Rattus norvegicus: one gene and its partners. The protein of the gene in region 1 purifies or fractionates together with the protein of each later gene. This does not show direct contact. Links are inferred from orthologs where the notes say so. Each region holds a gene or a part of one and is shown in the gene's direction. Other genes may lie near its edges.

Evidence for each region.
Region 2: the proteins of Polr3e (region 1) and Polr1d purify together in Homo sapiens (affinity purification with mass spectrometry; 3 studies listed by BioGRID and IntAct, with this or other methods). This does not show direct contact. The link is inferred for Rattus norvegicus from reciprocal best matches to the Homo sapiens genes POLR3E and POLR1D.
Region 3: the proteins of Polr3e (region 1) and Gpn1 purify together in Homo sapiens (affinity purification with mass spectrometry; 3 studies listed by BioGRID and IntAct, with this or other methods). This does not show direct contact. The link is inferred for Rattus norvegicus from reciprocal best matches to the Homo sapiens genes POLR3E and GPN1.
Region 4: the proteins of Polr3e (region 1) and Polr3gl purify together in Homo sapiens (co-immunoprecipitation; 5 studies listed by BioGRID and IntAct, counting the BioPlex papers as one, with this or other methods). This does not show direct contact. The link is inferred for Rattus norvegicus from reciprocal best matches to the Homo sapiens genes POLR3E and POLR3GL.

What each region holds. Positions count from the first base shown.
Region 1 is NC_086019.1:184,921,400-184,927,720, forward strand, and holds the end of Polr3e (DNA-directed RNA polymerase III subunit RPC5), read left to right. Parts: intron 1-317; coding exon 318-395; intron 396-2,286; coding exon 2,287-2,412; intron 2,413-3,365; coding exon 3,366-3,422; 3' UTR 3,423-4,139; downstream 4,140-6,321. UniProt on the Homo sapiens protein: DNA-dependent RNA polymerase catalyzes the transcription of DNA into RNA using the four ribonucleoside triphosphates as substrates.
Region 2 is NC_086030.1:13,113,084-13,121,135, reverse strand, and holds the start of Polr1d (DNA-directed RNA polymerases I and III subunit RPAC2), read left to right. Parts: upstream 1-3,066; 5' UTR 3,067-3,101; coding exon 3,102-3,127; intron 3,128-8,052.
Region 3 is NC_086024.1:30,680,562-30,688,738, reverse strand, and holds the start of Gpn1 (GPN-loop GTPase 1), read left to right. Parts: upstream 1-3,727; 5' UTR 3,728-3,744; coding exon 3,745-3,855; intron 3,856-4,451; coding exon 4,452-4,545; intron 4,546-6,349; coding exon 6,350-6,389; intron 6,390-7,378; coding exon 7,379-7,445; intron 7,446-8,177. UniProt on the Homo sapiens protein: Small GTPase required for proper nuclear import of RNA polymerase II (RNAPII). May act at an RNAP assembly step prior to nuclear import.
Region 4 is NC_086020.1:186,801,933-186,809,441, reverse strand, and holds part of Polr3gl (DNA-directed RNA polymerase III subunit RPC7-like), read left to right. Parts: intron 1-4,244; 5' UTR 4,245-4,286; coding exon 4,287-4,412; intron 4,413-4,716; coding exon 4,717-4,846; intron 4,847-5,596; coding exon 5,597-5,665; intron 5,666-5,950; coding exon 5,951-6,007; intron 6,008-6,359; coding exon 6,360-6,433; intron 6,434-6,539; coding exon 6,540-6,653; intron 6,654-7,509. UniProt on the Homo sapiens protein: DNA-dependent RNA polymerase catalyzes the transcription of DNA into RNA using the four ribonucleoside triphosphates as substrates. Specific peripheric component of RNA polymerase III which synthesizes small RNAs, such as 5S rRNA and tRNAs.

The sequences.
Region 1 (6,321 bases):
GCTTGGGAGTCTGCCAACATCCTGTTTTAGCCACACTTCTTATGCTGCCCTTGTGGGAAACAGCTGACCGGAAGCCCTGAGGAATGCTAGGGAAGAGGAGACTTTAGAGTAGAAGTCCAGGTAGATGCCTCAAAGCAGCATCACACACACTAATGCCATCCCAATACCTGTTGTCGCACTGTCATCTCAGAGCCAGTGAGTGGGAGAACTAGGCTTCGACCGCTCTTGCCTAGGGCTGGGTTGCAGGCTAGGTGGGTTGAAGTGGGCAGGGCAGCAGATCACAAGGCAGAGAAATGACCAGCTCATGCTTGGGCCAGTTTCCCCCACAGACTGCTGCTTCCCCTGATGAGCAGAAGGTATTTGCCCTCTGGGAGTCTGGAGACATGAGTGACCAGGTGAGGTGCCTTTTTTTTTTTTTTTTTTTTTTTTTTTTTTTGTCGTCTTTCTTTTTTAAGAGCGGGAGTCCTAGAAGGTTGAGGCTATTAGAATCTTGACACTAGAGTATAGTTGGACATGTCAGGTTTTCCAGTCACTCCAAGATAGGCCATGTGTGCCAGTGGTTTGCCCCTGAACTTGGGTGGATGTCTGTCGAATTAGAACAGTATCACCTTTGAAAAGATGACTGTTTCCAGCAGTATGGTGGCCTCACTCTGAGCTTTAGAGCTCTATGATAGTGATGCAGGCAGGCTTGGAAACCACGTGCAGAGGAGAGTTCTCAGTGGCTTTTTTATTAGCTGTCTTAAACCTGGAGTTTGGTTATTTTGTTCTGCGATCCTGTCTCCAGTGTTTGGGTAGTTCAGCTCTGGGAAAGAGCTGAGGTCCAGATGCCTTTAAATCATGAACTTGCCTGAATTCCAAAGATTAAAGTGTTTTGGTTTTAGCAGACATGCCAGTCAGGTTGAGACAGGAGTGAATCCTGTTGAAGCCTGTTTCCCTTTTACTTGCCAGGGGGACAGGAAGGCTGAGAGCAAGAGTGGGTATGAGGCCTCGCTTCTAACAGGAGTCCTGAAGTGACCCTGTTTTTGGCCAAGAAAGGTAGCTTGAGGCTTTCCTACTTAGCTTCTCAGATCACTAAGGGAAAAAAAGTAGTAAGTTCATTTAAAACTGAACAGGGCCTAAAGAACTGTGGGGAAGCTGACTCTGCCCTCAGAGGTGACCGATTGTTTGTGACTGTGAGCCGATCAGTGGTTACCACATGCTAGTGCACAGAACATGTTCATGCTGCAGTTACTGCTTCCTCTCCAACATGTGGGGCTAGAGAGCCAGCTCAGGCCTTCAGGCACCTTCTCTGCTGAGCCATCTCACCGCTCACTTCCTCTGTGCACTAGTCTGCTGTTCTGACCCCAGCAGACCAGCAGCACGACTCCTGTGGAATGTGAGGACACTGCTTCTCCATGTGTGGCTCTTCCTGTGTCTAGAGTCTTAGCCTCTGATGGGATATCGACAGCGTTCTTTCTTTCTGCCCTCAAGTACTGCTGGTACTAATAGAACTAAAATTTTACAGGGCAAATAATTTCCCCCCGTTAGGAAGAGGGTATCGTAATCATTTCAAAGTTGAAATTCAGTGATACTCTTCTCGTGAGATCTTCCCTTAACTGCAAACTGCATGGCGTATATTGTTCCCTACACTGGTAGGACCTTGATGTATTCTGAATTCTTTATTTACTAGACAGTTGGGCTCTTAGAGAATCCTGTAGGCTGATAAATTTCTTTACCTTTTTGAATCCTTATAGACATTTGAGCTATTAAACCTACTAGATGTCGTCTTTGCCCATTTTTTGAGACCAGAATTTTTCACTGTAGCCCTGACTGGCCTTGAACTCATGCTGATGCCCCTTTCCCAACAGGGATTGTGAGGTGTGTGTGAGTCATCACCCTCTGCAGTCAGTTTTCATTCTTCCCTTCTGTTTTGAGGATGGCCTTATTTGTCCTCTGCTATTTAATGTCTCTTTAGGAGTTTGGTGCATTTTCCAGTTTCCTGGATTCAGTGTTATGCTTGTGTCTAGACTTTGAACCAATTTAGATACCTTTCCCCCACCCAGTCTAAACTAGATGCTTCTGCTCACTTCCTTGTATGTCCAAACTGCTCATCCTGAGTTCCTTCACTGAAGTCTGCAACAGTGACCAATAGGTCGGTCTTGCTAATCTTTAACCAGGAGTGCTAAGCCACTAGACACTGCAAGGTGGGGCCAGCGCCATCATTTTGGATCTTTTGTTTGGGGATAGTTCACATTTGGGATACTATCACTATCGAACTAACACTTTTTTTTTTTAAATTAAATAAAGCATCGACAGGTTTTGCTTGAAATATTTTCCAAAAATTACCGAGTACGTCGGAATATGATCCAGTCTCGGCTGACTCAAGAATGTGGAGAAGAGCTAAGCAAGCAGGAGGTGGATAAAGTGCTAAAGGTATGTCCATTGTGCACAAGATGTCACGCAGAGCATCTAGGCTGTGACTTTGACCTGTTGTTTTAAGGACACACATACGTGGAAAGGTTGTGTCTGGTATCTTTGTTCCCGCTGTGTATATAGTAAATCAGAACAGCTTAGCCCTAGTGCCCACCAGTCTGATGGCCATCAACTGGCAGTGACTAGCACTGGTACCCTGGCAGGAAAGTGAGCCTTTTCATGCCGCAGAGTTGGACTGGGTATGAGGAGGTGTACATCATCTTGCACCCACTTGTATAATTGACAGTACAATCTTTTTTTTAATTTTAATTAAAAAAGGAATACTGGGGGTTGGGGATTTAGCTCAGTGGTAGAGCGCTTGCTAGGCTGGGTTTGGTCCCCAGCTCCGAAAAAAAAGAAAAAAAAAAAAAAAGGGATACTGCCTGGCACTGGTGGCGCACACCTTTAATCCCAGCACTCAGGAGGCAGAGGCAGGCAGATCTGAGTTTGAGGCCAGGCTGATCTACAGAGTGAGTTGCAGGACAGCCAGGGCTACAGAGAGAAACCGTGCCTCCAAACAACAACGACAAAGAGGAGTTTCTGTTTGCTTAATGTGAAAACACTTTGAATGCTCTCATGAACTGTGTGCATTGTAGAGGTGGGCACAGAAAGCCACTGCCCCATTCCCTGTTACCTTTAGTCATGTAGACAATAGGCCTTATTAATATGTCCCTTGTCGTAGTCAACTTGAAAAGTTTTTTTCTGTTGATACAGCAAAATCTGTAACACATCTTAAAATGTCCCTGAGGTATGGTGGCTGGAAACCCGATAGGGTCAAAGCGGCTACCCAACAGCACACTTAGGCAGGTTTTGATGTCCTGTTTGCACTCTGTCCGCTAATCGTGAGTCAGGCTGTGACAGCAATAGCTCTCTCCTGCCGGAACCTGCCCTTACCCAGTTTTCTTAATTTCTAGGACTGTTGTGTAAGCTGTGGTGGCATGTGGTACCTTAAGGGGACAGTACAATCCTGACAATAGTAGCAAACCACTAACTCAACGAACCCAAGCCCAGGGAAGGACGGCAGAGCCACACGTAGTCTCGACTTGCCTCAAGACACAGGAAGAGGATCTGCCCACCTGGTGGCCTGTGGCACTGCCTGGCCCAGAGGACAGAGGGGCTCACACTCAGCCAGTGGCAGGGTCAGCGTAAGTGAGATCGCTCCCAACAGAGACCAGCCGGGCCTTCTTTGCAGTACAATTTGAAATTCCTGATGTATTTTGCTTATTGGGTTTCATTCTCATAATAAAGAGAGTGTACACTGACATGGGCAGGATTATGAAAATCATGGTTTAATATTTTCCTCTTTTAAATGAATGCCAACATAGTTAAAGTTATGTTTACAAGATGAAGAGAACCTTAAGGTTTTTAATATTTAAAATGCCTAGAAGCTAATAATTAGTCTTAGAGTTTCTCTCTGCTAAGACTTCTGCCAATTTTATTAAACCAAATTGAACATTTTACTGTTGGGTTTCTAAGGCCACTTTACCTTATACAGCAGCCTGCTTTCTGTAGCGGTCTCAACTGTTTACACAGACCATAGCAAACATTCTATTAACTCCATCGTCTCCTACTGTTTGCATAAAGGTGCAAATGGAACCAGGTAAGTGTGGAACAGTGTGTAAGCGAGGTTATCACTTTGATGTAAAAAAAATTATATTTTGTGTATTTTTAAAATAAATGCTAACACTAAACTGGCATCATGGTGCTGCTGTCCTCAAATAGTTGCAGGAAGAAAATGTCCTCTGTGCTGTCTAAGCATTCAGTACAGAGAGAGAAGGGAGACCATGACGCCATCACACCAGGTGATACTCACTTTGACCTTGCAAGGTTGGTCTGAAGACTGGTCTGCTCACACTGCTGAGGCCGCCACACACACAGGGACAGTCACAGAGTGGCCTTAGCTCGCTGCAGACTTGCAAGCGGAAGGGAAGGAGGATGGAAAGTGAACACCAGCTTCTTAAGTAGGGAAGGGAGCTAGTACTCCTCCTGTGGGAATGTGAGAGCTGACTAACCTTGAAGGTTTTAGTACTTACATTAAAATAGTTTTAAAAGTAGATATTAATGTACTTCAGGCCCAAATATTTTAAATCAAAATGTAATAAAGGTTTTTTTTTACCTAAGTCTTCAGAATGTGGTATTTTACACTTCTAAACCCCTCAGAGCCATGATTTACATGCCGGATTGCCAAACTTCAGCTGTGGTGAACATGCCAGATCATATAGTCCTAGAAGACAGGGAAAAGGTGAGGTAGGCTGGGTGAGATGACGTCTGCCACCTAGTTAAGACTTCTTGCTCTAGCACATCTTGTGCAGCGCAGTCACTAATTGCCAAGGGTTGAAATAATGCTCTGTGCTCTCCTCTCTCGAAGAAATATCAGACCCTTTAGTATAATTTAGTAAGGCGTCAATCAGGGATGTACTCTCCAATGAACATTTGTTAATTACATCGATTACTAGGGTGGCTCTTGGTAACTGTTAACACATATGAGCTGTTAACTCAGTTAAAAGTTACCAAACCGGGCTGGAGAGATGGCTCAGCGGTTAAGAGCACCCGACTGCTCTTCCAGAGGTCATGAGTTCAATTCCCAGCAACCACATGGTGGCTCACAACCATCTGTAAAGAGATCTGATGCCCTCTTCTGGTGTGTCTGAAGACAGCTACAGTGTACTTATATATAATAAATGAATAAATAAAAAAAAAAGTTACCAAACCAATGAGGAACATGTCCTTACCATATTCTAGGGTCCTTTGCCCTTTGAAAGGGGAAGCCCTCATGTGGGCTGGCACAGCTGAAACAGACCATATAGGAAGAACTTGACTCAGTTCAGTCTCTGTGCATCTAAGGCCATGCATTAGATAAAAACAAAAACAACACTGAATTCCAAAAGCTGAGTGAACTTAAGAGAGGAAGAATGGGATGCTGAAGAAAAGCAGTAACAACAGCGACAACAGCACTTTCCACCTCTCAGCTCCTTCCTTCCACAGAAACATCAACTCAGTTAACTATCCACAAGCAAAAATACTTCATAAGAGCTAAGGACACTACAGATCTTAGAACCCAACATACAACACTTAATAAAGAGGAACACAGTATTACAACACACCTTCCTTAGCCCCAGTCTGTGTGAAAAATAAACTCACAGAAAGAACCAGGAAGTAAGCACTGGCCTTTGCTTTGGACCCCAAAGCCAACACTCATTCGGTACTGTTCATTCAGTGCTGATTTAGGACTTCACGCCAGAATCAGGCTGATCCTATATGATTCAGGCCCATCTCCAGCATCACTTGGCTCCCACTGATACATGGCTAGCCATGGGTACCAAGGAAGATGTTCCAAGCCTATCCAATGCCATGCATGACCCTGTGGCCTTCCCTTTCATTCCTCTGCAGCTCCAGACCTAAGCAAGGTTTCCAGTAAATCCTAGCACTGGTCTGACCTTAGTTAATCCAGGCTAGCCCTATGAGCCCAGTATCTAGATTGTCCCAGGTAGCTCTCTGATCTTTGCCTATCCCAGGGTATCTACCTAGTTAACTGGAGGTCCACTCTTAGGAACCCAGTTTCCAGCCCAACTCTACATACATAGTCAACTGGTATACCTCAGCAGATCCTCAGGTTTCAAAAGTAAACTTAGGTGCCAGGCTTCTACCTATTGACCTGGAACAAAGTCATTTTGAGGACTCCAACAAGCTTGCAAAACAGATGGCTTCCTTAGAACTGGATAGGTGAGTGGGTGACCTTTGCCAGATGGTTTAAAAAACGTGGAACAAGTTTCTACTTCAAACATACATTAACACATTATCAACAAGGATCAAGTACAGTTTGGGGAACACAGACTAAGCACCAGAAACAGACTGCAAACATCAATTCAA
Region 2 (8,052 bases), on another chromosome or scaffold:
TGAGCCATAGCCATGACTGTTTTTATTTTTTCAGGTTTTCAAACCCACCAGGCTAAAATGCTAAAGAGCTAAGAGCGGGTAATAAAGCCCGGCAAACACAGATAATATGCACAGAGACTTCACGGTAGCCCCATTCTGTTTCTCACTCTTGGGACCCCCACTGTCCCCCAGCTATCCCTATGGAATGCAAACCTCACCACAGCATCTTCCTGCTTGAAATGAACACCCCACGATCACTGACTGGATGAAGTGTCCAAACGTCTTCATGTGCTACACAAAATCCTTTCTTTTTAGTATTTCAACAGATATCTGAGGGTCCAGTTGTAGAACATACCATGAACCCTACCTAAGATGAACAAAAAAACCAGCCCCTGACCCCTATTACTTTAACCCCAAACATTGTGTTCTTCAGATTAACCATACGCACAGCAGATAATGTCACATTCTACAGCCATAAGCATTTAGGATGCTCCCAGAGAGAGCCTGTGCCAATTCCTCTGACACATTCTAGGCAGAAATGATTTTAAGTTCCCACATTACTTTGTTCAAATTACTTTCCGGTAGTGGACTAAGAAGTATACAGCCACTGAGCAACTTTGGGCAAGAAATGATCCCTTTCCTCAAAGTTGCCAAAGCGGTAGACACTGAGTAGCTAAATGTTTATACAATGAAAAGGCTCAAACTTGAAGATTAGAGGAAAAGAACACAGACTTAGTGGATGGACTAAATTAAAAGCAATGTGACTCTAGAGCTGTTCTGAGTTGGCCTACATTTGACCCCTTTGGGAAAACTCACATGGAATTTGGACAGGCTAAAATGGCAAAACCTTCTTAGCTCTGGCTCAACAATGATCTGCAGGCCAAATAGGACACTAGATTCCCCCAGGTTCCTTCTTTACCTGCCAAAGTCCTTTTTTCCGAAGGTGTGGGGGAGGGAGGGTGTTCAAATCTATCAAAGCAAACAGGATTGACCTACTGAGATCCAACTTCGTCTGTGCTGTGTCACTGTACAGGCTAGAGAAAAAGCAAATTGTGTCCTGGGAAGGAGGCCAATTTCTAAGTACTGTGACTACAAAGAATGTGACATTCTTAAAGTGAAGGCAGTTTGGATAAACTGGAGCTCACAGAATCCTCCAACTATCCTTGCCATTGGTTTCTGTGATTTTATTTTTAAAGAAAAATTGGCGGGGTGTGGGGCGCACGCCTCTCTAACCCAACAGCACTCAGGAAAGAGGTGGATCCCTCTGAGTTCCAGGCTGGCCAAGGCTACAGAGAAAAGAAAAATTGATTCGAAAAAGCCACGCGGAAGCGTCCTTAGGCTCCTGGCAAACACACAATCTTAAATGCAAACGGAAATACTAGAACACTCCATTTAAAAAAAAAAAAAAAAAAGCCCTTGTGTGAAACGTGGCAGAAAGCTTTCAAAAGCCAGCGATGTTTTTCCCCAAGAGGTGTTTTGTGCGCAAATGCTTCCAAATCGGGATTCATATTTTGGAAATTATACCCCCACGCTCCCAAACATGTCAAATCTGAAGAGAAAGGTGAGACTTCCCCCGCAACAGGCTGGGGCGGGGAGGAGGGTCTCTCTGCTCATCCCTTCCAGGGAACAAAACCAAAGGGCAGCTGGCTAGCGCCACTCTAGCTCCCGACAACGTGCAGACGCGAAGTGCAACAACTCGTCCTCAAACGTCCATGTCTTGAGAAGCGAGAGGCGCGCAGAACCGCACCGGGTCTCCTGGAACCTGCACCCGCACCGGGCCGGGCCAGACACCACGCGGCCCCCAGCGGTTCCCCAGATGGTCCCCCCTACCCTGACGCCACACCCCGTCACCGCCCGCACCTGAGGCGAAGTAACTCACTGACGGAAAGCGGCGGGCTCCCCGCGGGCGCGCTAACGAGGACGCTACCCGGCTCCGCTCTGCCGGGACTCACCGCCGCCGATTTCCTGGCGAGAAGCAAAGTCCGGCCAAGACTTTACTTCTCAACCGCCCCTGCTGCCTTTCCCCTCGGGGGCGAGCGCAGAGGCCCAACCCGACACGCACCTGAGCCAATCAACGGCGGGCGAAGGCGGGACTAAGAGCGGGCTTGGAGCCGCTCGACCAATCAAGGAATTCTAGGGGCCGGGTCGGCCCTGCTCATCACTCCCGAGTTAGAGTGAGCGCGTTCCGCCCTCCGCCATCGCTCCCGGCCGGATTCTCCCCTCAGACACACAGAGAAGACGCTCGGGAAGTGTCTGCGTGCACCCCTGGAGCGCCGCGCCTGGCGTGGGACAGCTGAAGGGAGGGGAGGGCTGCGGGACCAGGCTGAGGGAGAACAGGTGGCGCGGGGCGGCTGACGTGTAGGTGTGCAGGGCAAGAGGACAGCTGGGTGGGGCGGGGATCCAGCCTGGCCAGGGTCAGGTGGGAGAAGAGAGGATGCACCTGAGAAGGGCGGTTCCTTGGGTTCAAAGGGAAAAGGAGCTGCAAGTCCACCGCGTGAGCTCCGGAGGAAGGAGGGCGGTGCTCCAAACTCTCACTTCTCTCCCAAAAGAAAGACAAACGCTGCCCTTGCACCTATTGGAGATGTACATTTGCACCCCTGGGAGAAAATAAAAAGCCCACAGTATCGTCAGGAAAGTCACCTCTGCACACTAGTCTCTCTGCTTTTTCAAGGTTGCAATATGCTGGGTGCCCCAGGAAAGGCCCCTGAGGACTCCGGTCCCGGGAATAGCCAGCCATGGGGCAGTCCCGTTCCTCGAGACTCTAGCAAGTCAGAGATCCGACCCCGACGCTAAATAGCAGATGTCTCGGGGCAACAGGCGAGAAGCCTGTGATCTACGGTAGCACTCGGGGACAGAATGTGCACCGCAGCCGCCTGGCTTCCGCAGTTCCAGGTGAGCGGTCCAGCCCGAGCCTGGGCGTGGTCGGGGGCGGGTTCTGTTTTAGCCCCGCCCTTCAGAGGGGGCCCTGCCGCGCCGCTGCGGCTCCGCCTCCCTCCTTCCGTCATCCGCTCCTTCCGTCGGTGGTTTCTTCCTTCCTGCCTTGTCCCGCACCTTTCGCGACATGGGGAAGATCTTCCTTTTCGCCAGCGCCACCTGAGGATTTCCCGGAGCCGCCCCCCGCGATGGAGGACGATCAGGAGCTGGAGAGGTAAGGTTGGAGGCAAAGAGTGGAGTGGGGCGGCGGGTCGGGCCAGAGAAGCGGGTAGCGAAGGGGCACGCGGCCGACTGAGCCCGGCGTGGCGGCTAGGCCTGACCCCAGGCGCTGGGGAAGGGAGGAGAGAGAATAGAGCGGGCCGGGTTGGGAAGAGGGAGGAGCCGTGGGTTCATTTATAACAGAAAAGCCCAGAGGGACGCTAGCCATCCGGGATGGGAGAGAGGTAGGGAATCCAGCTGTAAGTCCCAAACTGCCACCACCCTCATTAGAACTGCCTCGTGTAAGGTCACGCACCGGGCCAGCCGTCCCGAGTGGCGGTCCTGGCGTGTTAAGTTAGCTAAAGTTACTGCAACTCCGCTCTGTGCAGACTGCTCGTAAATTCTCTCTGTCCGCCAAATTCTCCCTCCTATTAAACTTTTCACTTCCTTTCACTTAGTTTCCTTACCTCTTTCAAACGGAAGCTGTAACTGAGCCTGCCACCCTGATACCTTGTGGTTGCCATTTTTATGCTAAAGTAATCGTGTTTTTTATGCCTGTCAACTCCCTTTTCATCTAAAGCAGGGCCTACCCTATTATAACTCTGCCCCTTTCTTTGCTCTATCCGAAGATTTTTGCAAACAATTAACTTCGTGGGTTGTTTTTCTTTTGTTTTGTTTTTTTTCTGAGGTGGTACCCACCCCCTTGCTGGAGTCAAATGAAGTAGGGAGAAACGAGTTAAATATTTATGGCTAGAAGTGTGGAGGCAGGAAAATGAGGCAGTGAATCTTTAAGAGTTAATCAGAAAACGATATTCCGTATGATCTCATTCTTACACAAAAAAATATGTGTGTAGAAAAATATCAGGATTGAAGACCTCAATGGCTGAAGGCGAGAGGAAGACAGCCCTGGAAATGGTCCAGGCAGCTGGAACAGATAGACAGTGTGTGACATTTGTACTACACGAGGAGGACCATACACTAGGAAATTGTCTGCGGTACATAATCATGAAGAACCCGGAAGTGGAATTTTGTGGTTACACTACGACCCATCCTTCAGAGAGCAAAATTAATTTGCGAATTCAGACACGGGGTGCACTTCCAGCTGTTGAGCCGTTTCAGAAAGGCCTGAATGAGCTCTTGAATGTCTGCCAGCATGTGCTTGTCAAGTTTGAGGCCAGCGTAAAGGACTATAAAGATAAAAAGGCAAGCAAAAACGAACCCACGCTCTAGTCCCTCGTGCAGGGTACAAGCAGGACCACCCTCAGGATGGTACAGAGCCCAGAACTAGAATTGGTGACTACAGCATGTTCTGTCCTATAGGAAAATGTGGCTCTAGCTATTGACCCATTACAGCTTTTGGAATCTCTGCAAGTCTGTTTGCCTAATAAATTCTCGCTTTTGTTTAAACTAGTTTGAGTGGTTTCTCTTCCTTGAACCTAGATGAACCCCCAAGGATGGTGTCACCCCTTAATTGAACCAACACTATAAGTGAACAGATGTAATTGGGCCGAGTCAGAGGTTGTGATCACAGATCTTAAAAAGACTATTTCTATATGATCGAGATGCTGTGGGAAGGAGAGGTAAAGTAGAATGAGGTCCAGGACACTATGATTTAAAAGGCTGGAAAGAAGATTGGAAGAGGGACTTGAGGTGGTGTTTGTTTTTACATTTTCCTTGTATGTGCACACAAACATGCCGTGGTACATGCATGGCAGTCTGTTCTCTCCTAACGCCATATTGGAGCCATTTGATGATTGTTGGGCTTCACAGCAAGCACCTGTACCCACTAAGGCATCTCCGGGCTGTTTTTTTTTTTTTTATTAATGCAAATGCTTCTTTGATATGATTAGTAGACTACCTTAAGGATGAAGATAATGTGAAGTACTCCTCGGAGTTTTAATTTCGCAAGAGAATTTGAATTGGTATCAAGCTCCATCTTCGTAGCTTTTGTAGGATGTCAATTTATTGCTTGAATTCCAGAACACTAATGAAATATGTAGTCACGACATGAGTAAACCAGTTTTTACTAGGTTTCGTGCAGGCCTGTTTGTGTGGATATGTATGCATGCACATGGAAGCCAGAAGTTAACCTTTAGTTTGGTTGGTTTTAGGGCACGTTCACCAGCTAGCCCCGGCTGACTTGGAATGCACTTGGTAAACTTGCCCTTGCCCTAGTTTCTCACATATTGGGGTTAAAGGGGTTTGTCAGTTAGGCTAGGCTACCCCAGGAACCTATTTGTTATCTGTCTCCCGAGCATTGGTGTTGGAAGCTTAGCCACCCTGCCCAATTTCTTTTACGTAAGCTCTGGAAATTAAAATCAGATCCTTAAAGTTTGTGGCAAGTGCTTCAGCAACCGAGTTGTCTCTCCAGCTCCAACTTTAATTATTGGAAAGACTGGAATTACCAGGTAACATTTTTAGTCTTTAGGTAGGAGCCCAGGGTTACATAGAAGAGATAACATTTGTTAGAAAGTCAGGATTTGGAGGAAGAGAATTCTGTACAGAAGAAATGACATTTTGCAGAAGAAATGACATTTTGGGAAACTAACAATATTAACAAAACTTTTCACATCCCAAGAGTCATCTGGTTTATCTCTTTAATCGTTTGTGTCTTGTAAGTATTCTACCCAGGCGTGACTTAATTCACTCTAAGTATCTGTCACTCCTGAGCCGAGTCACCTCTTGCTCTTGAGCTTTGGGATCTTTGGTGATGCTTGTCTTCAGTCAGAACTCCACTTTCTGCCAGGGATGATGGTGCATGCCTGTAATCTCAGCATTAAAAAGATGCAAGCAGGAGAATTACAAGTTAAAGATCCAACTGACTTGAATAACAAGAGTTTGCCTCAGAAAAACAGCACCAACATACATACATGCTTTTAATCCCAGCACTCTGGAGGCAGAGGCAGAGGCAGAGGCAGGCAGCTCTCTTAAGTTTGAGGCCAGCCTAGTCTTCAAAGTGAGATAGGAAGTCCAAGGCTACATAGAGAAACTCTGTCTCAAAAAGTCAAAAAAAAAAAAAAAAAGGAACCTTTAGGTTATATTTGACCTCTTGTACCCTGCCAAGTGCCTATATTTCCTAGACTTGACCCACTTTTTAAAAAGATACTTTTGTACTCACTGAATGCCTGCATTGTACCAGGCCTTGAAAACAGATAACAGTGGAAACTTGTTTTTGTTTTTGGAAGAAGGGTTTCTCTGTAGTCCTGACTGTCCAGGAACTCACTTCAGACCAGGCTGCCTCCCACATGGTGGGATTAAAGGCATGAACTACCGCTGCCTGGCTTGGCAGTAGGAATTTTTTTAAATGGAGTTAAAAAAACAAAGTTTTAAACAAATACAAGGCCAGATAGAGAACTTGAGAAGTGTCTGCTTTGAACACAGAAACCAGGGAAGGAGTTCCAGAGATCGTAGGAAAAGAAGAGGCTATGCGGAGTGGAGAGCAAATGCACACTTGGGGGGAAATGTGAGCTCCTGAAGCAGAAACTAAAGGTTGGAGAACTTAAAGATTTCTATGGTTTAGCATAGCAGATAAGGAGAAGGGCCCATCTTCTTGATTCAGTGAGGAAAAGAGCTGGAGTGCTGTGTTATTTCCATTACAGAGTGGGATGATGGGGCAAATTGTAGCAAAACCAGACCAGAAGTGGCCCAAAATGCTGATAACACGGACAATAGGGAGAAGGGTGAAGTCCTAGGAACAGGATGTCAGATAGAGAACCAGATGTTTCCATCTCCTGTCTAGGTTCGAGGCCAATTACTAGGACAAGGAGCTTAGAAGTAACTTGTGTTGTGAGGGTTGCGGGCCCTGGGAGAGATACAAGCTGAAGGTAACCATGTGAGTCCTGATCATAAAGATGTAAGTCAACAGAGGCTGGAAAGTGATAAGGAAGGGGCCGGGAAGCAAGCCTCAGGCAACCTCAGTGTTAGGTAGAGTATATACCTGATGAGACAGTAAATTCTGCTGTGGAAGATGCTGAGTAAGTCAGCCCTATGACTGGGGAAGAAAAGGTCCTTTGAAATTAGCCCAGAGGCCACTAGGCTGTGGGTCGAATTCATCTGGGGTCTAAGGAGAGGACTCTGCTGAGGAATGACTTGGTTTGAGTTTTCCAAAGATAAAATAGACACGGCCCTTAGAGTGGTATGCTTAGTTGGCAGCAAGGATGATGACAGTTCAGTTAGGGCGGAGAAGAGTGAAGAAAACCAATGGAAGGTGTAAGAAAGTCCAGTTAGAGGAAACAGTGTATCAACTGGTGACCACCACCGGATCTCACAGTTGGATCGCAATAAAGGGTTGTCACTCATCCTGTGGCATGCAGTGTAAATCCATCTAGGGTGGCCATAAACAGGCTCAGATAAAAGTTCATATAGATGGCAGATGGGCTCAGGGAGAAAATAGGCTCATCAGGAGTGCCACATGTGTGGAAGGAACGGTGTGCAGTCTGTGGGAACTAGAGGGCTGAGAGAGCTCGGGGTGTTGGTGTGCCCTCTTAATACCTGCAGACAGAGGCAGGTAGAACTCTGAATCTGAGGACAGCCTAATGTATATAGTGAGTTCTGGCCCAAGGCTATGAAAGAAAGGGCAGAAGAATGGGGGTGACAGACTTGTACTTGAATCATACTTGCTTATATAAACTGAAAAATACCCCCACTACCTCACTGGTGAGCTAATGACGTTGCACTCAAACCACTGCAGTGTTAAGGATTCAAGATCAGAAGTTCTGTTTGGCTGTAAAATCCTGTGTCCTCTAAAGAACCAATCATTAAACGAGATGCCCATACACCAAAGGCTTTTAATATCTAATAATTCTGCATATCTGGCCTAGCACTTGCCACTTTCAAAGCACTTTACAGACTAGTTCTAAATTACATATAGCAGTAGCATCTAAGTGCCCTGATTAATTAGCATAATACAGGTTCGTGTGGTATCTCTGTAGAGAATAAAAA
Region 3 (8,177 bases), on another chromosome or scaffold:
GACCAAATCCAAGACTGTCTGACTAAGAGGAACTTTATTTTAGGAAGGTGCCCAGGACCGGCTGCACAGATGTCTCACATTCTGCAGAGAGTTTTGTGAGGTTCCTTTTATGGGTAACGTTAACGTTAATAGCAAATAGGTGTAATGTGTGACAGAGAACACTGGCTGTTAGAAAACATACAAAAGGCAGAATAGAAGAATATATATCCGGTGGAAGAAGAGTCATACATTACGGGGCAAGGGACTACAATATAGATGGAGATTTCTTGACAACATTTGTAAGGCATGGGGTCATGAGTTCAGTGCATGTTCTGCAGGGTACACTAGGTTTAGGACACAGAAACTTATCCAATGTGGCTCCTGTTCTGGCTTCACCCCGTTCTGGCTTTACACTGTACTCATTTACATTTCCCATCTGCACACCTGTGCTGTCTGTTGTGGTGAACACCGTGGCCAAAGCATCGTAGGCAGGAAGGGGTTTATTTTACTTCCATTGTTGAGGGAAGCTGTTCTACTGCTGTGAAGCGACACCATGACCAAGGCGACTCTAATAAAGGAAAGCGTTTAACTAGGGGCTTGTGTACAGTTTCAGAGGTTTAGTCCATTATCATCATGGCAGCTTGCAGGGCATTGGAGCAGTAGCTGAGAGCTACCACGTCCAACAGAGAGATGGGAGGGAGGTGAGAAGGCGGAGGGAGGAGGGGAGAGGGAGGGGGAGGGAGAATAACTGGGAGGGGAGGGGGAGGGGGAGGGGAGAGACCTGGGGGAGGGAGAATAACTGGGAGGGGAGGGGGAGGAGAGGGAGGGGAGGGGGAGGAGAGGGCTGGGAGAGGGCTGGGGGAGGAGAGGGAGGGGAGAGGGCTGGGGGAGGGAGGGGGAGAGGGCTGGGAGAGGGCTGGGGGACGGAGGGGGAGAGGTAGAGAGGGAGGGGGAGAGAGACAGACAGACACTGGACCTGCAGCTCTGGGCTCTTGAAAACCTTAAGCCCCTGTGACACATTGCCTTCACAAAACCACACCTCCTAATCCTTCTAATCCTGTCAAAGAGTTCCATTCCTTAGTGACTAAAGATTTAAATATATGAGTGTGCAGGGATAGGGGGCAGGTGGGGGAATATTCTTATTCAAACTACCACAGGAACTTGGAGCAGAAATCACAGTGGAGTGCTGTTTGCTAGCTCCTTCTCCACCCTCCCACATTGGCTAAAATTCAAGACAACCTCCCACAGACATGATCACAAACCAATCTGATCTGGGGAATCTCTCAAATGAGACTCTGTCCCCACAGGTGACTCTTCTTTGTATTGAGCTGATACTCAAAGCTAACCTACACAGAACCATACTTGAGAGCTCATATTAATATCAACAACCTACATGTATCCAAAACGTGGCCTCCTGGTTGTAGTGTTCTACTGAATTTTTACAAGATCAAACAGTGTGGTCAACATAATCTATATTATGTCCTCTGATCACTTTCCTTTGAAGGAAAAGAAAAAGGAGTCCTGAAAAGGCAGAGGGTGGGGTATGGTTCAGGTACCACACATATCTCCCTCACCTCAAATTACTCCTGACCTGCGGGGACTGACCCTGAACTTGGCTATCTCACTGCTTCGCTTTCTGAGCGATGGGAGTACAGGTGTTCTATAAAAGACCTTAAAACAAATGATCCTCAGGTTCCAGCTTCTCCTGCTACCCAAATCTATTTAAAACAAAACTAAACAAACCAGCCATGTGCCTTCTTTTATTTCCAACGTAACAGGTGGGGTTTCTCTTGCTCTTGGAAAATGATTGATAGTCATTTCTGCTGAGACAGTAGGAATTTCAAACCTTGCTCTTTCTTCTCTTCTTCCTCCTTCCCTTCTTCTTTTCTTCCCTCTCCCTTTCCTTCTTCTCCTTCTGAGAGGATATTAAAGGTCATCAGAGAATCTCCCCACACAAAACTTCAACTGGCCATATTGCTGATGCCACAGCCAGGAGATGGGTCAATAATTACAGGTGTTCACATCCAAGCTTTCCAACTTGAGTTCGATCCCTGGGGCCCACATGGTGGGGAGTCCTGAGTTCCACAAGTTGTCCTCTAACGTATACACAAACTATGGTATGCAGGCCTACATACATGCACGCTCACACACGTAACTGTAACTAAAAAAGACACCAAATTTAAATGTCATCACGGTTAAACTAACTGAACTGCTAGAAGGTAACACAAGCCAGACAGTGCTGCCCAGAGAGGGCCTGAGTCAGGTAAGATCAATCACTATCCATTTGGTGGTATTTTAAGAAGATGTTGTTCGAGTTGGGGATTTAGCTCAGTGGTAGAGTGCCTGCCTAGCAAGCGCAAGGCCCTGGGTTCGGTCCTCAGCTCCGAAAAAAAAAGAAAAAAAGAAAAAGAAGACGTTGTTCACTGATCCTGGAGCTGATTACTTTGGCTAAGCTAGCTGGCCACTGAGCTGCTGGGTTTCTCCGGTCTCTAGTTCTTCAGCACTGGAATTATAGCCACAATCTACCATGCCTGGGCTTTCATGTGAGTGCTGGGGTCTGAACTCTGGCCCTTACGTTTGCGCAGCAAGCACTTTACCAACTAGTCCTCTCGACAGCCTGCACACTTCATTATAAAATGAGATATGTATAGATATAGACAACCTTTTTGTTCTTCAACAGTTTTATCCATTCTCCAAGAATGTCATCAAAACCCAGGGCCACCCTTGACCTACAACCCTAACCCTTTATCTCACTCTTAAAGGGGACTTTTTAGAAGCCTTCTGGGGGCTGGGGATTTAGCTCAGTGGTAGAGCGCTAACTCCGAAAAAAAGAACCAAAAAAAAAAAAAAAAAAAAAAAAAAAAAAAAAAGAAGCCTTCTGGTTCCTTGGGCCTTTGGTTCACCATCTAGTCTTTTCTTTTTCCCTTGGACGAATGGCCATACGGGTGAGCAAATAAGACTTTGGTTACAGTCTCTGTCATACGGTCCTTTCCTCATGAGATTCTTCCACCCTTCCTCTACCCATAACCTCCGGTATTACTCAGCTACACTTGAGCCACAAACACCCTTCGGTTCTTTAATTCCCCTTTGCATTTGGTGATGAGGTTTCTTCCTCTGTTATTTAAAATACAGTATTCATGCTATCTTTCTTTTTTTTTTTTTTTTTTCTTTTTTTTTTTTTTCAGAGCTGGGGACCCAACCCAGGGCCTTGCGCTTCCTAGGCAAGCGCTCTACCACTGAGCTAAATCCCCAACCCCTCATGCTATCTTTCAAGTGTTACGTTAATTTTTACTTAATATTTTCTTGAACGAAATGACGCTTAAAGTTTTTTTTTTCCTTCTTAGCCAATAAAATAAAGGGTGGAACGCCACCTTAGTCCGTTAACCTTAGGATCTTAACAGATCCTGGCTTGGGATCCCACGTCATTACGCCCCTGGGAACTTTGCCGTTCCCGGGTCCTACCTTACCCTTATCAACCCTTTCTGGTTCCCTATACTCCTGGTCACTAGTCCAAAGCCATTATTGGCACCTACAGTACAGCATCTATAGTCCCTGTAAGTCGGATGCTTAGAAGCCAGTCTGGTGCCCAAAGCGCGGTTTGGCTATTCCGGCCAATTGCAGCTCTAAACTCAGAGAGGCCGGATCGTCCGACCAATCGTAGCCCTATACGCAAGAGGGCGGATTTTTCTACCAATCACAGCCCTTAATGCAGCGAGTCCGCAGCCCGCAGGCCCATCTGTGAGTGGTGGGCGTGGCTGAGGAAAGATGGCGGCGCCCGCGGCTCCTGCCGAGCCCCAGGCTTCCGGGGCTCCGGAGCTCCCCGTGTGTCTGTTGGTGTTGGGAATGGCGGGATCCGGGAAAACTACCTTTGTACAGGTGACGTGCACTGTGTGGAGGCTGTAATGGCGCCTCAGGCCCGAGAGGAAGTTGTCTGGGGAATTGGAGGGTCTGGGCGCGTGGTTTTCTGGGGGCTGGCCTCTGACTCCAGGTCCTTCCCGAAGCCTCGAACCCTAGCCTGGGTCACTTGAGGCAGTCTCCTGCGTAGCCTTAGTGTATGCTTGGTACAGCTGAAATAGTCTTGCTGAGAATTGGCAGCTCTCCGAAGACCCAGGCAGGGGGAGGTAATGCCAGCATCACTGGTTTTGCGTGAAGAGTCGTGAAAGAATCACTTCGTTTGACCTATCATGTTCTAAGCTCTTGAGTATACAGCGGCAATGATATCGACATGGTTCTTGCTTTCACGGAGTGAATGTCTTAGTAGAGGAGACAGAGAAGGAAAAGAGGGTCAAAGTTAGCGAAGACGTGATGGAGGGTAGAGATCAGGTACTGGAACTAGATGGCTTTTAAACTGAGAGTTTAGTGTTGAGGGAAGAAGGAGATTGTTATAAGAATAGTCAGAAAGGAATGGGAATTCTCTGGGCCCTTTCCTGTCCTTTGGTCATCAAACTTCGACCCTGCCGCCGTTTTTGCAGAGGCTCACAGGACACCTGCACAACAAAGGCTGTCCACCATATGTAATCAATCTGGACCCGGCTGTGCATGAAGTCCCTTTTCCCGCCAATATTGGTGAGTGCCTTCTTTAACTAACTATCTGCTTTTCTGTGGATTTGCCTGAGTTCCAGAACATGCTTCTTGCTTATTCAGATTTATCTCTCTCTTATGTATCATTCTCATTTACCCCCTCTCTTTGTCCTCAGTGCCACCTGACACATGAATCGTTTAGTTTCTTTTGTCAGAGTTTATGAGTTCTGCTATAATTCACTCTGATCTGTAGAAAGGTTCCTTCCATTTCCAAAGTTATGGGTGTGTGTGTGTGTGTGTGTGTGTGTGTAAAAATATGCGTTGTTGGGGTTGGGGATTTAGCTCAGTGGTAGAGCGCTTGCCTAGCAAGAGCAAGGCCCTAGCAAGGCCCTGGGTTCGGTCCCCAGCTCCGAAAAAAAGAAAAAAAAAAATATGCGTTGTTTTGAGGAGAGTGTTCTGCTTGAGACTATCAGAAAGATTTAGTATTGGTGTGATCCAAGGAAGCCTGAGGCAGAATATTGAGAGTTGAGTCAGTCCAACTTACATAGCTAAACCTTGTTTGGAAAAGAAAAAGTGGGGGTGAGGGGTAGATTTATTATGAAAGTGCCTGTAATCCACTGACAGGGCTCTTGGGGGTCCAGAGCCTGATTCCCAGGTCTCTTGCTAATCCTATTAAGCTTCTTATACCCCATATACAAATTAGGAGGTGGAAATCTTGTTTAAGAATCATAGATTAGTCGGTCCCCAGCTCCGAAAAAAAGAACCAAAAAAAAAAAAAAAAAAAAAAAAAGAATCATAGATTAGGCCAGGCAGTAGTGGCTCACGCCTTTAATCCCAGCACTCAGGAGGAAGCCACATGCAGATCTCTGAGTTACAAGCCGGCTTTTTCTATAGAGAGAGTTCTAAGACAGCCTGGGCTATACAGAGAAACCCTGTGTTGATAAACAAACAAGAACAACAACAACAACAAAAATCATTGATCATTTTGGAAAGATTGGGCAACAAGTTTTCTATTTAAACTAAAGGATAAAAATGTAATATTGTTCATCTAGTGTCTAGGGGGTAGGTTTGTTTTTATTTACTTTCATTTTATATGTATGGGTGTATCTGGTTCCTGCAGAGGCCAGAAGAGGGATGCAGAACCCCTGGAACTGGATCTACAGATAGTTATGAGCTGCCATGTGGGTGCCGGGAACTAAATCTGGGTCCTCTGTAAGAACTTCAAGTGCTCTTAATCTTTGAGCATCTCTCTAGCCCTGGCAGATAGGAGGTGGTAGATCTGAATAGACAGTTTTATTGTTCCTATGTCTACGAATTGCCTTCATTACCATGCAGCGGCTAGTAAGTTTTCTTTTCTTGTTTTTATTTGTTCATTGGTTTTCCTGTGCATGTGCCCACTACCATTGAAATTGTCTAAAACTTGTAATCTTATTTTAGTCTATCATAACTAAGAGCTTCTGACCTTTTGTTTGTTTATTTGTTTGTTTGAGACAGGGTCTCTCTGTGTAGTCTTGGCTGTCCTGGAATTACTCTAGATTAGGCCAGTATTGAACTCAGAGGTCCATCTGCCTCTGTCTCCCGAGCCCAAGGATTAAAGGTGTGTGCCACCAGGCCCAGGAGTCTAACATCCTTCATAGGATACTTGGCAGTTATCCCTAGTCAGGAAGAAAGTGTAGAGGAGGGTATAAGCAAATGCTGGTAAGATATGGTGACACTTCTGTATAGCCTCAGACTCGGAAGGCTGAGGTAGGAGAACAGCTTGGGTTACTTGGGAGGTTCAAAGTCAGTCCCAACAAATGAGGTCATGCTTCAAAAAATAAAGGCAACCATTCTCTCTCTTTCCCCTCAGATATTCGAGACACAGTGAAGTACAAAGAAGTCATGAAGCAGTATCCTTTTTCTCGTCAGCAGTCATGGTGAACTGCTGCCTTTCATTGCTTTGGGGGAGAGGTTTTACCTGTCAGATTGGGACAATACAAGCAAACTCACTTCATTTTCAGTAATCATATTAAGAGGACATAAGATGAACAAGATGAGTGTAGGAGAGATCAGAGATTTCAATAATACTTCCATTTTCTTAACATAACTCGGATAGCCGAGAAGATGCATGGCCAGCTGTTGACTGCCTGGGCCTGGGGAAGTGATATTGCCTTGGGTCATACAGTCATCGGTTAAAAAGTTACTCACAGGAATTTAGACCAGAAAACTTTTTTTTTAAGATTTATTTATTACAAGTGCAATAAGTACACTGTAGCTGTCTTCAGACACACCAGAAGAGGGCATCAGATCCTGTTACAGATGGTTGTGAGCCACCATGTGGTTGCTGGGATTTGAACTCAGGACCTCTGAAAGAGCAATCACTGCTCTTAACCACTGAGCCATCTCTCCAGCCCATTGAGTTATATTCTTATGGGTTAATTTCAGCATGACAGCCAACTCTCTTTAAGTAACCTTAGGAGGGTTGCTTGCCTAGTGAGAATCAGGATAAAGAGTGTTACATGCAGCCCTGGCTGGCCTGAACTCAAGAGATCTTCCCACCTCTGCTTCCTGAGTGCTGGGGTTAAAGGTATTGAGCTTCCACACCTGGCTACACAGATGATTTTAACTGGTGATGCCAGCAGTCTGTCACTGTTTGACGTGTGTAGTCGTTAACTTTTAGTCACACTATTGTCCTTACCTTGTGTGGCCAGTCCTAAAACGAGAGATCAGCAATGAGAGCCTTGCTAATAAACACTGGGGTTGGGTGGTCATCAAAGCCTGGGTTGCCAGCACCCGTTCGTTAATTGGACGTCAATACCATAATGCGTTGGATGGATGACAACCAAGTACTAACTGTATAATCTCATACGTGCAATTTAATCCGTAACCGAACGTTCAGATATGGACTTGGGCCAAACGGCGGCATAGTGACCTCCCTCAACCTCTTCGCTACCAGGTTTGATCAGGTATGACATCACTTACGTTCACAGACCTGACGCTGTGAAATTCTGACTCTTCACATGCCGTAGCTTGATCACATTGGTAGAAGAACAGCAAAGATGACGAGATACCAAAAATAAGCAGGTGTTTGTGTAGGCCAGGAAATAGCCTATGAATGGCTCGGACACTTCACATTTTATGCCTGTGAGAAGACAAAAATCCAAAAGACCTGGGTTCTTTCTCTGGCCCTTTATCAGCTTATGGTGTTACCCTGGCCAGGAATTGAGGATAGGGCACGGTGATCAGCTACAGCAAGGAATGGGGACATACTCGTGCCTTTTCTCTTGACAAGTATTTGTCACCCTTTCGGTTTCCTCCACCACTTACTGTCTTAGTTGGGGTTTTACTGCTGTGAACAGACACCATGACCAAGGCAACTCTTATAAGGACAACATTTAAGTGGGGCTGGTTTATAGGTTCAGAGGTTCAGTCCATTATCATCAAGGCAGGAGCATGGCAGCATCCAGGCAGGCATGGTGCAGGAGGAGCTGAGTTCTACATCTTCACTGAAGGCTGCTAGCAGAATACTGACTTCCAGGCAGCTGGGAGGAGGGTCTCATTGCCCACACCCACAGTGACACACCTACTCCAAGAGGCCTCACCTCCAAACAGAGCCACTCCTCGGGCCAAGCATCTACAAACCATCACACTTACTTCCATGGGAGGGGGTTATAATCATTGTAATCTGATTCTGCCAC
Region 4 (7,509 bases), on another chromosome or scaffold:
TGATTTCCATAGCCAGGAGCTTTTGAGTGCACAGTACCTTTTTTTATAATCTTAAATGGATTCATTATAGATTCTCAAGCTGAGAAGGGAAGACCACTGCCGTCTAGTGCCCACCAGTGCCCACCCTCTTAATGCCTGCATTAGATAGGGTTCACTGTCTCTCCCTCTGCATCTGTGGTGGTCAGCTGTGTGGTGTGGGAGTATGTGGAATGGAATTAAAGTCTAAGCTCCGAGCTTGTGGCCTTTTGTCTTAGCTCCTGGTTGCTCTGCTTCAGAGCCCCTGGCTTCTCCACAGCTGAGCACACTGTGGCTGTCTTCAGACACACCAGAAGAGGGCGTCAGATCTCATTACAGATGTTTGTGAGCCACCATATGGTTTCTGAGAATTGAACTCAGGACCTCTGGAAGAGCAGTCAGTGCTCTTAACCACTGAACAATCTCTCCAGCCCTTTCCCTTCCATTTTTATAATGGTAGTTAGACCCCTAACTCCTCAGACACCGTCTTCTTCCTGCTACAGATTATAAATCTTATATATGATTTTTGTACATGAGATAAAATATATTTACATTTAATTCAATTTTTAAACTCTTACTTTATGTGATATGTTTATGTGAAGGAGAGATAGAATCCTCAGCGTTCTCTGACCTCATCTGTCCCCTCCCCCACCTTATTAAGGCAAGGGTCTCTAACCACTGAGAAGTGAATGTCAGGCTAGTTAGCCTCTAAGCCCACAGTGATTCTCCTTTCTGTTTCCCATCGGTTCCATGGATCAAGCACAGGTTGTCAGCTTGTATGCCCCAGGGCCTTGACCTGCCGAGACACGTCCTTGGGTCCCTAACTAAAATTGTAAATCAATAATTTTATTTGTTGGCTGGTCATGTTGGCACATACCTATAATCTTAGAACTTGGGAAGTAGAGGCAGGAGGATCACAAGTTTAGAATTTTCTGCATAGCTCAGGTGTCTTAATCAGGGTTTCTATTCCTGCACAAACATCATGACCAAGAAGCAAGCTGGGGAGGAAAAGGTTTATTCAGCTTACACTTCCACATTGCTGTTCATCACCAAAGGAAGTCAGGACTGGAACTAAAGCAGGTCAGGAAGCAGGAGCTGATGCAGAGGCCATGGAGAGATGTTACTTACTGGCTTGCTTCCCCTGGCTTGCTCAGCCTGCTTTCTTACAGAACCCAAGACCACCAGCCCAGGGAGGGCACCACCCACAACAGGCCCTCACCACCTTGATCACTAATTGAGAAAATGCCTCACAGTTGGGTCTCATGGAGGCATTTCCTCAAGGGAGGCTCCTTTCTCTGTGATAACTCCAGTTTCTGTCTAGTTGACACACAAAACCAGCCAGTATAATAGGCTAGCTCTAGACTCCTTGGCTTAGCGGTTCTCTTTCCTCAGCCCCGCAAGTGCTAGGATTACAGGCTCCAATCACAATGCCTACCTAATTATTTTCTCTTATTATAAAAGAAGTGTTCGGGGTTGGGGATTTAGCTCAGTGGTAGAGCGCTTGCCTAGCAAGCTCAAGGCCCTGGGTTCGGTTCCCAGCTCCGAAAAAAAGAAAAAGAAAAGAAAAGAAGTGTTCATACATTATAGGGAAAATTAATGCACAAACAGAAAGAAAAGAAACAATCATGAAGGCCCATTGCCTGAAAGAAAACCACATTACAGGGCTGGGCATGTAATTTAGTGACCAAAATAATGAGACAAAAATTTTAAAGAATAGATTTACAGAAAAACTGAGCAGAAAATCCCCAGGGTTCCCTTTACTAATGTTGTATATTACTACAATGTATCTGTTACATATGAACCACTAGTGATATGTTATTATTCAAGGTTCATATTCCACTCAGATTTCTTCACTTTTTATATAATGGTCTTTTCATGTGTCATGATCCCATCCAAGATACCACAGAACATTTTGTCTCATGTCCTTGGGCTCCTCTGGGCTCTGACAGTTTCTCAGCTTCTTATTTTTAATAATCTTGACAGTTTTGAGGAGAACTGGTCAGGCATGCTGTAGGATATCCTCTGTCGGAAGCTGCTGTTCTTCAGGGACTAATCTGGTCTTGGGAGGAGGTTTGGGCATGAGGGTCACAGAGCTACAAGTGTCATTTCGGATCCAGCCCTGGCATGGAGGTCTGGCACTTGGAGCTGAGGTGGAACAAGGGTTCAAGGACAGCCTAGGCAACACGGTAAAACCTTGTCAAGGAAGGATGAACGGACAGGAGAGAGACAGGGAAGGAGGCACATGCCCTGCAGTCCCAGCACCTCCAGATTAAAAGGGCACCATTGTCTGCTACAGAGGTAATTTCAGGTCAACCCGGGCTCCTGGAGACCCCAAATCAAGAAAATGAGAGAGGAAACAAATGTGTCACTGCATGTTAAGAATACATATTGTCTAGAGTGAGTTTCAGGACAGCCAGGACTACACAGAGAAAGCCTGTCTCAAAACAAACAAAACCCACCTGTATTGTCCTTGTGAGTCGCCAGTGATGTTGATCTTGGTCACTAACTGGAATGGTGTCCATTAGAAGGGACCCCATACACTCCAACTTGCCAAAACACGTGGGACAAAATTTCCCATTCTGAAGAATCAGGAATTATGTTCCTTTCCTGTTAACTTTGTTTATTTTTTAGCTTGTGCTATCTACATGGTTTGTTTAGAATTCTGCATGACGCATTTGCCTTTTCCCAGTCACTTATAACACGATGGACTCATGGCGTTTACTTTGGGATTATAATCTAATATTAATTTATTTCATTGTATTGGAAGCTGAAGTGATGGTTCTGTGATTGAAAGCACTGATTGCTCTTCTAGAGGATCCAAGTTTGGTACCAGCACCCACTTCAGGCTGCTAACAACCACCTGTAGCTCCAGTCTCGGGAGAAACAGTGCCCTCTTTTGGTCTTCATGGGCACTACACTCATATTATATATTATATAATATATGAGTGCAAAACACCCATACACATAAAATAAAAATAAATAAAGATCTCAAAAAATTGAACAAATTGGTCTTGTTTTTAATTATGGGTCTATGTGATCTCTGTGTATACACATGACTCAGGTGTCCATGAAGGCCAAAGGCATTGGAGCCCCTGGAGCTAGAGTCTGTGTGTGAGCTGGGAATCAAATTCGTGCCATCTGGAAGAGCAGTACCCACCCACTCTCAACCACTGAGACATCTCCCTAGCTGAATGTTTTAGCACTTTTAGGTATTATTTACTTTTACTTCTCTGAATGTGCACCACTTCTGTAGAAGTGTCTGTAGGCTGTGAGAGGGCATTGGATCCAGAACTACAGTCACAGGCACTTGGGAATGTCCTGATGTGAGCTTTGGGAACCAAACCCAGGTCCTCTGCAAGAAAGAGCACCGGATACTTTTACCCACCAAGCCATCTCTCCAAATCGTGTTTAAAAACTATTTTTAAAAATGTTTTCGAAGTGTGTGCATGAGACTGCAGAGGCCCGTGGAGGCCAGATGAGGGTGTTGGATTCCCTGGAGCTGGGGTGACAAACCGTCATGAGACACCAGACACAAGTGCTGGGGACCAAACTATTCCTCTGCAAAAGCAATGCACATCTTAACCACTGAACATCAATCCAGCTTCGTTTTTTTTTTTTTTTTTTTTTTTTTTTTGGTTCTTTTTTTTCGGAGCTGGGGCCAGCTTCGTTTATTTTGAGACATGGTCTTGCTATTCATCCCTCAGTGGTCTGGAACTGTGTGTAGACCAGGCTAGCCTCAAACAGGCAATCCGCCTTCCAAGTATGCAGCTAGGAAAACAGCTTTGTGGTATCATTTCCGACTTTGTTTTATTTATTTTTTAATTAATTAATTATATCTTTCATTTATTTGCCTTTTTTTTTTTTTTTTGAGACAAGGTTTCTCTGGGTATCCTCGGCTGTCCCGAAACTCGTTCTGTAGATCAGACTGGCCTCGAACTCAAAGCAATGCTCTCCTCAAAGCAATGCCTCCCTCTGCCTCCCAAGTGCTAAAACTGAAGGCGTGTGCCCGCACTGCCCCCAGCACGTTGGCTTCTTTGAGTGTCACAGAAAAGCCTTGGAATGTAGCCCAAAGGTAGAGAGAGTGCTTGTCTAGCATGAGAAGAGCCCTGGTTTGAACCCGGCCCCAGAGACAAAAAGTCACCTGCCACAGAACACCACAGGCGGTGCAGCCCACTGGCTTCGAGTCTCTTCTAGTATACTTCTTATCTCTTTGTTTTTGTCTTTATTAGGTTTTTCTCACTGGATCTCTGCGTATCCAGGCCCCCTCCACCATGGCCAGCCGGGGTGGGGGCCGGGGTCGTGGCCGAGGCCAGTTGACCTTCAACATGGAGGCTGTAGGCATTGGGAAGGGTGACGCTTTGCCTCCACCCACTCTGCAGCCCTCTCCACTCTTCCCTGTGAGTGTCTCCCTTCCCTTCCTAAGCCTTCCATGTGCCCTCATTGAATCCTTGTGAGCACAGAGTCCTCCTGGCCCGTCAGGAGCCATCCACACCTTGATTCTGTCTCTACAGTGACTTCCCATAGGAGGTGTTTCCCAGGCAAAGAAGTGTTTATCTTCACTCTTCACACCCTCCACGCTCCAGCTCTCAAAGTGCCCTCCATCTTTCTGGCCCTCCAAATTCTTACTGAGAACACTGGGTTTTACTTGGGGGACAGGTCCTTTAAGGTTGGACTGCAGCACTAACCACTGTGCTTCCTCAGCCCTTGGAGTTCCACCCGGTGCCTCTGCCCGCAGGAGAGGAAGGGGAGTATGTCCTGGCGCTGAAGCAAGAGCTGCGTGGGGCCATGAGGCAGCTCCCCTACTTCATCCGGCCAGCTGTCCCCAAGAGAGGTCAGTAGGAAGGCTGGGGCAGAGCCCGCTCAGCATACTGGGGGCCAGAGAGGCTTAAAGTTTACGTCTAATGGAGAGAGCATTAAAGTTCCGTCTGTGTCTGAAATGTATCACCTTATTGGAGATTTGAGCTGAACCTTAATCTTGGGGTTAGTGGGACATTAAAGCATTAGCATCATAGTGCAAATGTACAAATGGGGTAGTGGGGTACAAATGGATTTCCAATTCATCGATTGGAGAGACCTTGATGCTGGGCTTCTGCGTATCCTACCTGTGCAAAGCCTTCTCCCCTTCACTAGTGAGAGCAGGGGACTGGAGAAGGCAGGGCTGCTGGCAGGCTTGAGTGAGTGGATGTTTGCCCTGTGAGAAGTACTGCCAGTTGATGCCTTTCTACTGAGTCTACTGAGTCTGCTTCTCTACTGGGAGCTGAGGGCTCAGAGGTGGAAGACTTACTAAGCTAACCCATTAGTGAGAGGGAGACAGAAGACGGAACCCTGGTCTTTATTCCAGTGTATCCTGTCCCATGGAGCACACTAGAAGAGGATTCTGGACAAAGACAAGAGTAACAAAAAGGCAGGCTGGAGGAGAAATAAGGCTTCCACCCAAGTGGGCACCACTGGGCTCTGGGTTTAGAGTAAGGCGATCGATAGATAAAAGGGGTAACCCCTTCCATCAATAGATAAGAGGAGTAGACCCTTGGGAACAAATATTCTAAGGATAAAACTGTGACTCATGGGCTCTGACCCCCAGATGTGGAACGTTACTCAGACAAGTATCAGATGTCTGGGCCGATTGACAACGCCATCGATTGGAACCCTGGTAGGTGACTGGTCCTTTCCAAATGCCCTTCTTTCAGATGCTTAACATCTAAAAACAAGAGTCTTAACATGTGCTCTGCAACACTTTCTACTTGAAAACCCTATTTGTAACGATAGTGCCCACCTCTCCAGAGGCGTCCAGCCTACAGTTTTATTCTGAAAATCTTCAAACCAACCCCTTCCTTCCTGCCCTTTTTAATACTCCCCTTCCCTCAGTACCAGCCATCATTTCCGGAAACCCCTAGCCAGACAAGGTCCTAATGATTTTCACTTCCACGCTTCCCAGATTGGCGACGACTACCCAGCGAGCTCAAGATTCGAGTGCGGAAAGTCCAGAAGGAGCGTGAGTGAATCTGCAGCAGGAGGAGGAGGTTTCGTCAGCCGGTGCCATAATGACCACACGAGGGCAGCAGAGGGCCGCGTTTGCTGCAGGAGGGTGGCGTAGGCTCAGCTAGACTGGAGGGAGAGATAGATGGCTCAGCTGATAGACACCTGCCACCAATCCCTAGGACCCACGTGATGGAGTTGGAAGGACGGACTCATTCTAACGTCTGCCTGGGTGTTACACACACACACACACACACACACACACACACACACACACACACACACACACACACACAATTTAAAAGCCAGAAAGAAACCTAGTTATGATATGTGCTTCCTAAGGACTCACTTTTTGATCCTCCAAACAGGGACCACCATTATCCTTCCCAAGAGGCCCCCTAAGAGCACAGAGGATAAGGAGGAGACGATCCAGAAACTAGAGGTGAGAGGGAAGTGTAATAGGCAGCTGGCCTCAGGGTCCCTTAGAGCCTCACTTCTCCCTTCCTTCTCTGAGTGTGAGTTTCTCTTCCTATTCATCCTCACATGAGACTCTAGAGAAGAAGGAGGAGGAAGTGACTTCAGAGGAAGATGAAGAGAAAGAAGAGGAAGAGGAGAAGGAAGAGGGGGAGGAAGAGGAGTACGATGAAGAGGAGCATGAGGAGGTGACAGGCACTTCTGCCCCTCCCCCCCTCCCCCTTCTTTCTCCCTCACAAGTTTTGGGCTCACAACTCTAACCCTCTCTCTCCCTCTCTCCCTCCCTCCCTTTCTCTCTCTCTCTCTCTCTCTGTCTGTCTTTTTTTTTTTAAGATTTTGTTATTGTTTTAGTTTTGGTTTTGGTTTTGGTTTTGAAACAGGGTCTCCACTATGTAAGCCAGGCTGGCCAGGAACTCCCCAGAAACCCCCTGCTTCTACTTCCTGCAGTTGGGATTACATGAGTATGTCTCCAGACTTGGTATTCTCCCTAACTCTGGGCTCTCAACTCTTACACAGGAGACCTTCTCAGAGAGTTGCAATGCTACCAAAAGGCTTTTCTCCAGTTCATCTATCCCTGGCCTATTCTCAAAACACATAACATGGTGGAGTAGATGGCTCAGAGGGCAAAGGGGCTTGCTACCAAGCCTGATGACCTGAGGTCAATCCCCAGAACCCACAAAGTGAAAGAAAAGAACTGACCCCTGCAAGTTGTCCCCTGACCTCCATGTGCACCAGGGCACACATGCACACACATATGTAAACACACACATATACAGGCAAACAATCATTTTAACTTTTATAATATGGAGCTGGAGTGATGGCTCATGGTTAAGAGCACAGGCTGCTCTTCCGAAGGACTCAAGCTCCACTCCCAACATACACATGGCGGCTCAGAGTGACTGTAACTCCTGTTCCTGGGCATTGGATGCCATTTTCTGGCCTCTGAGGGCTCCAGGCGCACAAATAGTATATTCATGCATGCAGTCTAAACACCTATACACATAGAAAGTAAAATACATTTACAACAGTGGGCGGGGCTGCCCC